2 linked regions of the Schizosaccharomyces pombe genome follow. The protein of the gene in region 2 interacts with the protein of the main gene of each other region in a biochemical or structural test. Each region holds a gene or a part of one and is shown on either strand. Other genes may lie near its edges. The genes, in order: sip1 and apl2.

The links.
Region 1: the proteins of apl2 (region 2) and sip1 form a complex in vitro, tested with the Schizosaccharomyces pombe proteins (2 studies listed by BioGRID).

Annotation. Positions count from the first base shown.
Region 1 is NC_003423.3:1,333,811-1,338,862, reverse strand, and holds the start of sip1 (Pof6-interacting protein Sip1 AP-1 accessory protein), read right to left. Parts: upstream 3,153-5,052; 5' UTR 3,140-3,152; coding exon 2,893-3,139; intron 2,849-2,892; coding exon 2,770-2,848; intron 2,732-2,769; coding exon 2,683-2,731; intron 2,634-2,682; coding exon 1-2,633. Other genes in the region: SPOM_SPBC27B12.07 (uncharacterized protein), read right to left, coding at 3,701-3,864, 3,932-4,256, 4,368-4,751; gpi13 (pig-O family ethanolamine phosphate transferase), read right to left, coding at 5,041-5,052.
Region 2 is NC_003423.3:676,050-681,510, forward strand, and holds apl2 (AP-1 adaptor complex beta subunit Apl2), read right to left. Parts: upstream 3,693-5,461; 5' UTR 3,586-3,692; coding exon 1,534-3,585; 3' UTR 1,079-1,533; coding exon of another isoform or gene 1,008-1,078; 3' UTR 860-1,007; coding exon of another isoform or gene 712-859; 3' UTR 584-711; downstream 1-583. Other genes in the region: putative NatC N-acetyltransferase non-catalytic subunit Naa38, read left to right, coding at 712-859, 1,008-1,078; knk1 (AAA family ATPase), read right to left, coding at 4,500-4,717, 4,765-5,173, 5,222-5,461.

The sequences.
Region 1 (5,052 bases), 660 kb from region 2:
TTCTTTAAGAGCTGAACATCAATATCACATTCTGGCAATAGCATATAGCTCAATAAAATGCGTGTCTGGGCAGTTAAAACACTCGGAATGGTCTTTGCGATAGACCCAAGAGAAACGGAAGAAGCACGAATAGAACACTCTCTAACAAGGTCATTCGAATCAGTATTAAAAACTTTGAGCAGCTGATAAGCGGTGATGAGGGTAGTTTGGGGAACTCCGGAACCAACCTTTTTTAATATATGGCCAACGGCTAGAATCAAGACAGCCCTGCAATTTGGATCTCCCGACTCTGCAGCACGTTTAATTATTGTATCCAAAACGGACGTCGGTTTGCTTTGATATAAATATGCCAAAAACGCATAAGATTTCGAAATGTAAGGAATTAACTTCGGATCGTTAACAGCAGTCAAGTTTTCGAGCAATTCTATCATAAGGGATACAACCTTGTCAGGCAAGGTAACTTTTTTGTTATCGAAAGCAGAGAGAAATCCATAAATGGAAAATAAAGTATTTGCTGTTACTGCCTTGTAACGTAAAATATCTCTCCCACTCTTGAGGTTTGTCACAGACGCTACCATAATTTCGAGAGTGCTCTCCATAACCTTCGGAGGTTGATGACAAAACATAGACGCAAATAACTGGATCGCGTTATCAATTAAAGAAGTTAAAGACGGGGGTACGTAAGGAAGTTTTGCAGAGTTTGATCTCGAAATCACTGACAGGGAATCAGAAGATGACTCGCAAATATAACAAGGAAGTATATCATCCATGGTTGTTTGAAATTCTTCCTCTGGCTGAGCGTAAAATCGTGAACCAATTCCAGGTATAACTCTTGGAGAAGTAAAGGCTTTCGCTTGAACTATTTCGTCCGCAGTATCATATCCTTGTAAAGAAGAAAGTTCGGCTATAGTAGACACAGTCGTGGATAGTAATTCTTGATCATCTAAACTCATTCCACTTAACTGAGACAACTCGAAGAAACATTGGAAAATCCGAGCAAGCAAGAGAGAGCGAAGTTCCAAGTGAGAATAATCTGAAGCGGGAATTGGCATGGTAATTTCAAGCCTTTTGGTTAACGAAAAAGCTTTGTAGAATTTAAGGCAGTTATTTAGGAAAATAATGACTCGCTTCCTAACATCAGGTGTGAATAAAATCTTGTTATACTCCAAAAACGAAAGCAAGCACTGTAACGCTTCAAACCGATTAAACATGTCTGCATTTGTCTCCATGAAATTTTGTGAATGTATTTTTGAAGGTACTCTGGAAAGGGCATTCTTCCATAAAATTAGCAATTGGGACAATTGCATTCTAGTAAAAGAAGGACCAAAAGAAACGTAAGCGCTTAATAGTCGCCAACCAGTCTTGATTTGTGCTTGTGCCGCTAATAAATCCAATTTAGATGATGACTTAATCAAATCCAAAGAGAAGTTAAATAACTTTGAAAATATAGAAGAAGCAACATATAGAGGATTTTCTTCGGCGGCAACATAAATCGACATCAACGACAAAGTAAGATTATTGAAAATACCAACATTCAATTTGGGACTTACTTCCTTAGGTTTAGAACGAAGGTGCTTAAATTCCAACTCTAATCTATTAAAAAGAGCAAGCAAAGTGGGCATTAAAGGAGAAGGCATAACGGATAGTAAACAGCGCAGCAACCAGGCTACTTCATTCTTCAATGAATCTTTACCCAAGTATAGAATCTGTAGTGTAGTATCTAGTAACTGACTATATAAAGCAGTAGCCGAACCCTTTGATCGGCTTAATATATCAGCGGTGGAAGCCATCGCAGTCTTAACAGCAATTTCCGAAATCTTCGACTGATCTTTTAAATAAGGCTCTAACACTCTCTTTAAAAGTATTTCAATTCCCTGCAATTCAGAGCTTTGATCGAGAAATCGCCTTCCAATCACATCGCGAAACAAGTATGTACAATGATATTGCTCCAACGAAGACAACCATTCTTTTGAAGTAGAGTGTGATTGGTGTAATAGAATAATATCCACTATAGTAGTGTAGTTGAGAGAAACAAAGGATGGACGTTGCATTAGAAAAAGATGCTTAACGGCAAAAACAAGAACCGCTTTTGAGCTTTCATACTTTGCATGCTTGGAGTGATAATTTTCGACAAGAATCCGTAGGGCGTGACGAAAACTCTCAGTTTCATCAAAACGGCGAGTAGTAGACCGATTTTCTACTTCCTCATTGTTCTCATCATCCGCTGGAGTTGAGGGTACTGCGTTTGCAGCGGCTTCAATCGATTTGTCAGCTTGAGCACTTGCAAGTGCAGAAAAGCATCTTCCTAAAGAAGAATGGAGCAAAGAATTATCAATTGATGATTTTTTAAATAGAAAAGATTTGAACCATTCCAATTCTGAATTACGAAGACGTGAAGAGCCCAGAATGTAGTAAGCGCAACGAAGTGCAGATAAAAGAACATTCGTTGATGAAGTGTTTAAATTTGATTTAATACATTTCCATATTTCTTTTATCAAATCTTCATTCGTAGACTGAATAGATGTTTCAATGCATTTCGACAGTCCATCTAATGCGATTGAGCGAACTCCATATGACAAATTGGTTTTCGAATATTTGAAGAAAAATCTTATAAAAGTCTCTTGCTGATTGATCTATTAAGGTTAATTATAAGTTTATAGAAAATATCCAAAAGAGTAATACCTGATTTCCATATTCTTCCAAGCAAGAAGTCAGAACGGATAAAACGTTACTACCGGTTAGTTGATATTTCAAATATTCTAGACATACATAATCTCTATATAGTCTTTTTTCTCATGAATGCTATCCACGAAGTAAAGTAAAACTCGATGCTGATGATAACCCTCGACTAATACTTGTTAACATATACCATTTTCCATAAATCTCACATACGTCCTTTTAAGAGTGCAATTATACAGTTAGAAAGAAGTTTTCTAGTTGGATAAGCAATAAAATTTCCATATTTTTTGATTAACGAAAGTAGGGGATTTAAATTAGTTTGTAATGAATCCTCGCGAGTATTTTTGTTCAGATTCCTCAATTGTTTTTCGTAATTGAGTAAATCAATATATATGGTCTCCCTCTTATCTACATCAGCTACTTTCGTCAACTTTTCGAGCGGCAATGATGCTAACGACATATGTGGAGCGGCCAAACCAATTTCCCTAGGCTAAATCTATATACATTGAGTTGCGAGGTACTGAAATCTGCAGTCGACATTTACACGATTTACAATAAATTAATAATCAAATAGTCTATAGATAATATATTTATTATTATCATTATAATTAACCACTTTACTTATCAACCACGAACACAAAGATGTTTTAAATTGTAGGAGACTACTAGAATGCAATAGCCATTCCGAGTATCGTTAATTTTAAAATTAAATAAAACAACGAAAAGTCATTTATAGATTTAGTTTTGAAATGGACAAAAATTTTGTCTGAGAAGGCAAAAATCACAGCTCAACGCTAGTATGAGCATCTGCAATGCAAACAATTATTATGCTATTCATAATGGTATTTCCATGTACAATAAGAACAAGGGGTCTCATGATCAGAAGGAGTACTAATAAAACTTAATATTTGCATATTTCCATAAAACCTAATTGAACATTTTCATAAACAAAGAAGAAAACACAAAAAAAAAGAAAGGACAGATATTAATGAAGAGCTCGAAATGCTTTGCTGGCCATAACTCACATATGGGAGAGATTAGTATCAGTATAATCATCGCGCTTGTTATCTAAATTAAATGAACCTAAATTATCAAGCTCATCTTGTTTTTCTTTTTTTCTGCTTCGTACTCCAAGTCCAAATGGAATAACCAGCACTAAAAACCCTGTAAAAGCCATCACCACACCTGAAAAAGAAAAGGAAATTAATAAATGAAATTTCAAATACCTAGTTTGAACTATAAATATACTTACCTGCTGCTTTTCTTATTTGGTCCCATTTCTGCCTCTCATTTTCAGCCCTCAATTTACCTAACGAAACGGCTAATAAATTGTGTAGTTCAACAATTCTTGCACTCAATTGCTGGACTTCATTCTTTGTATCATTTTTCCGATTTTCAAACTCCATTTTGCTTTCGGTATTAAGCTTGTTTAACTGCTCGTGAACCAATTGTTCCAAACTTTCTACTTCCCTTTGGTTTGAAAACAAGCCTGAACGTAACGAACTGATTTGATCTTTTCTCATATTTATTTTCTCTGAGCGAAGCTCCGACAAAGCTGTACGAAACAAATAGGAGCACTATACAAGTTAGCTATGACAGTTCATTTGAAAGCAAAAAAAACCGTCAATCTATAATTAAAGATAAATTTAAAGACGGAAGGATTCTGTAGCTTAATAAATCATACGTACATTTTCAAAATCAGCTTCAGACAGGTAATTGAGATGACTATGTCGCAGCATATCAGTAACAAACATATTCGTGACTTCGAGAAGACCCTCGGCCTCTTTTTCTGTATATCCTTTATCCATTAAAGTTTTCAAAAATGTAAATGTGTTGAAGTGATATCCTTCAAGGTCTCTGAAAGGACGATTTTCGTGATTGGCATTTACTACTGAAAGACCCTTTTCCATTTCACCTGCATCTGTCCCTTCTGATGCATAAAATCGAATTTGCTTCGTTAAGGATAAAGAATAAGGAATTAAACGAAAAGTATTGATACTATGCACTTTAATCCCATGCAAGGTAATTCGGGATCGATTAACATCTATAGCTTTTCGTAGCAAAGAGAACATTTTGTCAAGCTACCAAATTTTGATTATAAATTAAGCAACTTATTAACAGACATAATTAATTTTTGTTAAAAATTGGGTACGATGATTGTGGTGAATGTTAAATGTACATATCAGAAGGCGTAAAGGAGTAGTATGGGTGTACCCATAGAAAATAATAATGATGAAAATGCATTGATAAGTGGTTTTGATTATTTCCTTATAAGGTTTAAAATGTTAAAGGATATAAAAGAAAATATTTCTACAATTCTAATTATACGTCAAATTGAACGAGGGCAGTGAAGCTTTATTGTTATTCAGCATC
Region 2 (5,461 bases):
CAAAACACACTCTTCAACATGCTAAAAGATCGATACAAAATAAAATCGCAAATGGGATAGTCCGCGCTATGTTATAGAGCATTACGTTGCCATTACTCACCCCACATTCAGTTACTCTATTATACGTAGTTTGTGATACTTAAGGTGATATCGTATACTATGTAAAGACATGCACCAATTCCGTTGTTTAAAATACCAATGTTAATTGCACAGTTTTCAATTCTCCCTAATGTTACGCAGTTTGGTATCTGATTTAAGGATACGGAGAACTGCGGTGAGTTTTCCTTATGGTCTATTTATATTACAATACACAGGTTGTATAAGTAGCAACTGAGTATAGGTATTGTATTAACTGGGTTATAATGTTACCTATCACTAATATAGCTCATAACTGAACTGAGGAACGAGGTTCAGTTGTAACGCTATTTATAATATTTCTAAATAGTTGTTATTAACGGGTATCTATGTATATAGACGGATAATTACCCGTGATTATCAATAAACGGATCTTAGCTAGTATTCCAACATATGACATATAGTGATACGCAACGTAGTGTATCATAGCATAGCGTTATATTAATGGCACTACATTACTTTTTACAATACGATGTTCAAATTTTGTGCATTGCGTTAATGTTTAGTATTTTCAGAGTATGTATATCCACTGCTATTGATTTCACTTCCCCCAAGCTTGATGAATTTTCCTTGATCATGGAAAATGGAGAGATTTTACTGACCAGCTGGCTCAATCGGTCAGTTCATATTGAAATTTTTGATGAGAGAAAATTCATCGGAAAGTTCTTGTGCACTGACAGAGAAGGCGCTGCCATTCTCTCAAATACCACAGAATACAACAAAGGTAAGATTGATATGTGTTCATGAATAGCGCGTCCCTCAAATTCAAGTAAACTTTCGCTGGGTTACTGTTTAAATTGAAAACAAACGTTCCAGCTAGTACCTCTTTCTGTTTTTCACCAATTTCGTCAAAACTAATATAATGAAATCAGGCTTCTCTAGAGCTTTGGGTTTAGTGGTGATTCCAGGAAAGCATATCAAAAGCTTCTCCGTACGTGCCTAAAGCACCCATAAATCTCCTTAACATTTTCATCTCACTTACGTATGTATGTATATATATATATATATATATATTGGAATGAATTCAAAAACGAATATCGCCAGGGATAATCATTACATTCGTACAGATTAAAAAACGCCTATAATTAACATTACAATCTGTACCACTCGTGATAGCACCTCAGTGATAATGATTACTGCAATGAGCAGTCCCTATTTTTGCTTCGCATCCATTTTAACAAATATTTTTTTATTTATTTATAAAAACGAAAGAAGAACATGCTTTCTATGTTAAAATTGACTTTCTGATTTGGGAAAAAACAACAATTGAAACATATCTTCATAAACTAGATGTGCATCAATCAACCTTATCCCGTTTTTCCCATTAGACAAACGAAACGAGATAAATATTAATAAAACAAATCATCATCTATCATGCCACTCATCTGTCGTTTATCTTTAAAGCCCTAACAGATCATCTGTTGCCGATCTAGCCTTTACAGGTTCAGCGTTATTTGTGCTCGGTGCCTCAAAAGCCATGAACAAATCCATTGCACTATTTGAGCCCGACTGAGGTTGTGCGCTGGTTATTGGAGAATCACTGGCAGACGTTGCGCCTGGATCAGTAAAATCAAGGTCAAGCAAATTTTCAACGTTGGCTCCTTTTTCAATAGCTTCATGAACATTGGCTTCTTCAATGTTCAATTCTTCAACAGCTCGACGCTGTATTGCGTCTGCGCCAAACTTGCCCTGGCCAATAAAGGATTCCGGTAATTTATGGTATACAGAAGCAAGAGTTGTGATTTCACACAACAGAGCATCCAAAAGTGCCTCAGGTAGATTGTTATTATAAGATACGGAAGGCTTTTCGCAACAAACAATTTTTTGAGCTTTACGAACATTTTCAGGTGTCAACAACCGCTGATATGCAAAGGCACGATCCCTTAAATCCTGATTGCTTGATTGATTAATTGCATAATTTAATACTTTCTGTACGAGTTCTTCATCGTTTCCTTTGCCGTTCATCAAACTCAATTTTACAACAGCCGTCAGTAAAGCCAATTGAATCTGTAAATCTTCATCCGCCATAGTAGAAATCATTTCGGATAATAGTTTAGAAGAAGTAGGTATAACGTGTGAAAATTCCCCTAAAATCCAAGCCATACTACTACGGGCTCTAGGGTCACCAAGCTCCTCAATGACACGAGAAAGATATGGAAGTAATAAGTCAATCTTTTGAGGGTATTTGCGCAAAACCGTTTCCATCACCACCGTGACTTCTTGAACCATATAACTAATATTTAACTCATAGATTTCAAGAAATATGGAGATGCAATCATTGATGACGCTTGGAACTTTCAATGCAACGTCTCCAAGGCATTTAATCGTTTGTTTCACAAATTCTAGTTCAACTTCGGAAACGTACGCTCGAAGCTCGGAAATGGTCTCGTTAATGTTTTCGTCACATGCAAGCATTGTAATTATCTTTAGTTTCTCCATTTTAATATAAAGAGGATCATTATATTTGCAGAAAAAAACCCGAGTTTTGACATCAAAAATAGAAGGCCTCTTTTGTAATATTAAATTAATGTTCCGTAAGGCTACATACTGGATTTCTGAGTCCGTAGAAAGTAGCGTCAAAAGAGGAGGAGCCATTTTTTTGTACAGAAAGTCTGTAAAGTCACTGGAAAAGAGAGGGATATGTACCATTATGACTTTCACAGCGGACAAAACGACACCACTATTTGCATGTTGGAATTGAGGAACCACCCTTTCACAAACATATTCAGCTTCCTTGATATCAGAAGTGCGAAATCTAGCTAAAGAATTCAAAATAGTAATCCGACCCCACTCATTACACTCACTCAAAGCAACCATTAGCCTGTCTGTCATCGTGTAAACTACATTAAAATATCCCTTTTCAGGGTCCTGATCATGAATTTCAGCAAGTGAGCGGACTGCATTAGCCACAACCACAGGATTCGGATCAGATACCAACGCCTGCAATTGTTCGATGAAACCATTTGATGCACAGTATTCTCGATCAAGGTCATACATCTTTACAACACAAACCGCTGCAGCCTTACGAACATAGGGATGCTCATCCTTCAAAGCTTTTCGCAACGGATCTGCCAAATAGCCAATGATTTTATTTACCCGAATGCAACCCATAGTTCTAATTGCCAGAGCTCGTAAAGTAGGATTATATTCCTCAGAATCCTTTACAAAAGTATTAACGGCTAAAATACAAAGATCAGGGTGTGTTTTGGCATAGTTAATTAGATATAAATAAACCAGTTTTTTCAAGGTGATATCGCGAGTAGCTAGGTTCTTTAAAACATCGGGAAACAGACTAGACACATCCTTGCCAACAGTCATTGCGGCAATAGTCCGTTTCACAGCATCAATTCTCTCGTAGGCATACTGAGAAACTAGTCCCTTTTGTAATTCACTTGTTTCGCTTTTTTTAAATGCCTTAAAACGGCTCGATTGAAACAACTTTGGAACCATTCGGTACTATTGTATAATTCCGCTCTTTATGTAGCTCTTTTAAAGGTGGTAAACGTCCTAAGGTCAAAAACACGTTTACATATATAAAGCAGTGGTTCAATAATCATGTCAAGTCAAACCCATTCGGTGAGAAACACCCACTCCCAGAAGTAACAAAGGTGACAATATCGAATACTGAAATCCAATTTCTATATATTCATGATTTCATTTTCAACCTGCAATGCTTTAAACGCTACTATTATGACCTTTAAATAAATTTTAAAACATTTAATTCAGTATACAAACAAGAGGTTGAAATGTTATTTCAATAAAAGCTATAAGTTAATTGCCGTAAAAATGCGATTCAAGTAAAGCAATACCCTTTTCCAAACATTAAATAACTAATAATTATTGTTCAAAATTGGAGAATAGTGAAGGGAAAAAAAGTAGCCCAATAGGTTGAGGCTGTATGTAAACGAAATAAATATGACGATAAATGGAAAAAATAAAATAAAGAGAATTGATGGAAAATACAAAAGGGGAGCATTTGTAAAAGGCGCTGTCAAGTCGGCTATGATTTAAAATGTCGTTTATAGCGATAGTCAAATCACGAATACATTTTAGTTGTTGTAGGAAAGACGAAAATAAAATGAAGGTAAACAGAAATTAAAATTCGTAATAAGCCAAGTTTATGCAAAAGAAAGTTATTGAAACCACATGAAAATCAGCATCCACGATTCAATCCCTAAATGCACGGTAATTCTCATAATATCCAGAAAAACGATACCCAAATGATTCGTTAAGAAACATTAAAGGATAAAATTAAAAAGAGAGAAAGGAAGTTTGAATAAATTAAAGGATACCCTGCCTTTTTGATGCAAAAGAATATATGATTTCTTGAAAATATTAAAGGTAGAATACTCTACAAAGTTGTTTTAACGTTGCGAACCAAATTGTTTATTCCACTCTTCGTAACGATGAATACCCTCTTGTGAGACACTTGGACGAATAGTACGAAGGCTAGCTTTAAAATGATTCAAGCTGATCGGAGGTATCATCTCTGCACTGGTGGTAAGTAGAGCATCACCCAAGTTTCTTAAAGGACCCATTGCTGCGTCTTTGGCTAAAGCAGTGATATCAGAGCCTGAATAACCTAGATGGCGTTAGTTAACTAACCAATCGAATTATTTATATACATACCTTCGGTAAGATTGACAAGTTCTTCCAGATCCTCCTCCGTCAAACAGTGTACTTGATTATGAAGCAAATGAGAAAGATGTTTATATCTTGTTTCTTTTTCAGGTAACGGAATATAGGTTCTTTTAACGAATCGGCGTCGAGCAGCCTCATCAATACACCACGGAAGATTTGTAGCTGCCAGCACCAAAACACGGGGAGAGTGACCAGTTTGCTTGTCCGGAGCCGCATTAGTTAACGAAGACCATTGAATTAAAAATTCTGTTTTTAATCTACGAGAGCTCTCGTGCTCATTACCGCTGTCATTACGAGCGGAAAGAATGGAATCAATTTCATCAACAAAGATAACGCTACATGTCTGGCGCTTCGCAACTTCAAAAAGGGCTCGAACCAACTTTTCAGAATCACCAAGCTAAATCAAGGTTAGTTAAGAATGGGGTTAAATATAAAACTTGCTTACATATTTCGAGGTTAATGATGAAGCCGAAATCGAAAAAAATGTGGCTTTCGCTTCGGTCGCAACAGCACGAGCAAGCATGGTTTTGCCGGTGCCAGGGGGGCCAAAAAGAAGCATGCCTTGTACGGGTTCACGCAATCCTTGGAAAAGTTCCGGGCGTAAAAACGGATAAATGACTGCCTCTTTCAAGGAATTTTTAGCGTCATCTAATCCGGCAATGTCCGACCAGTAGACAGGTTCATG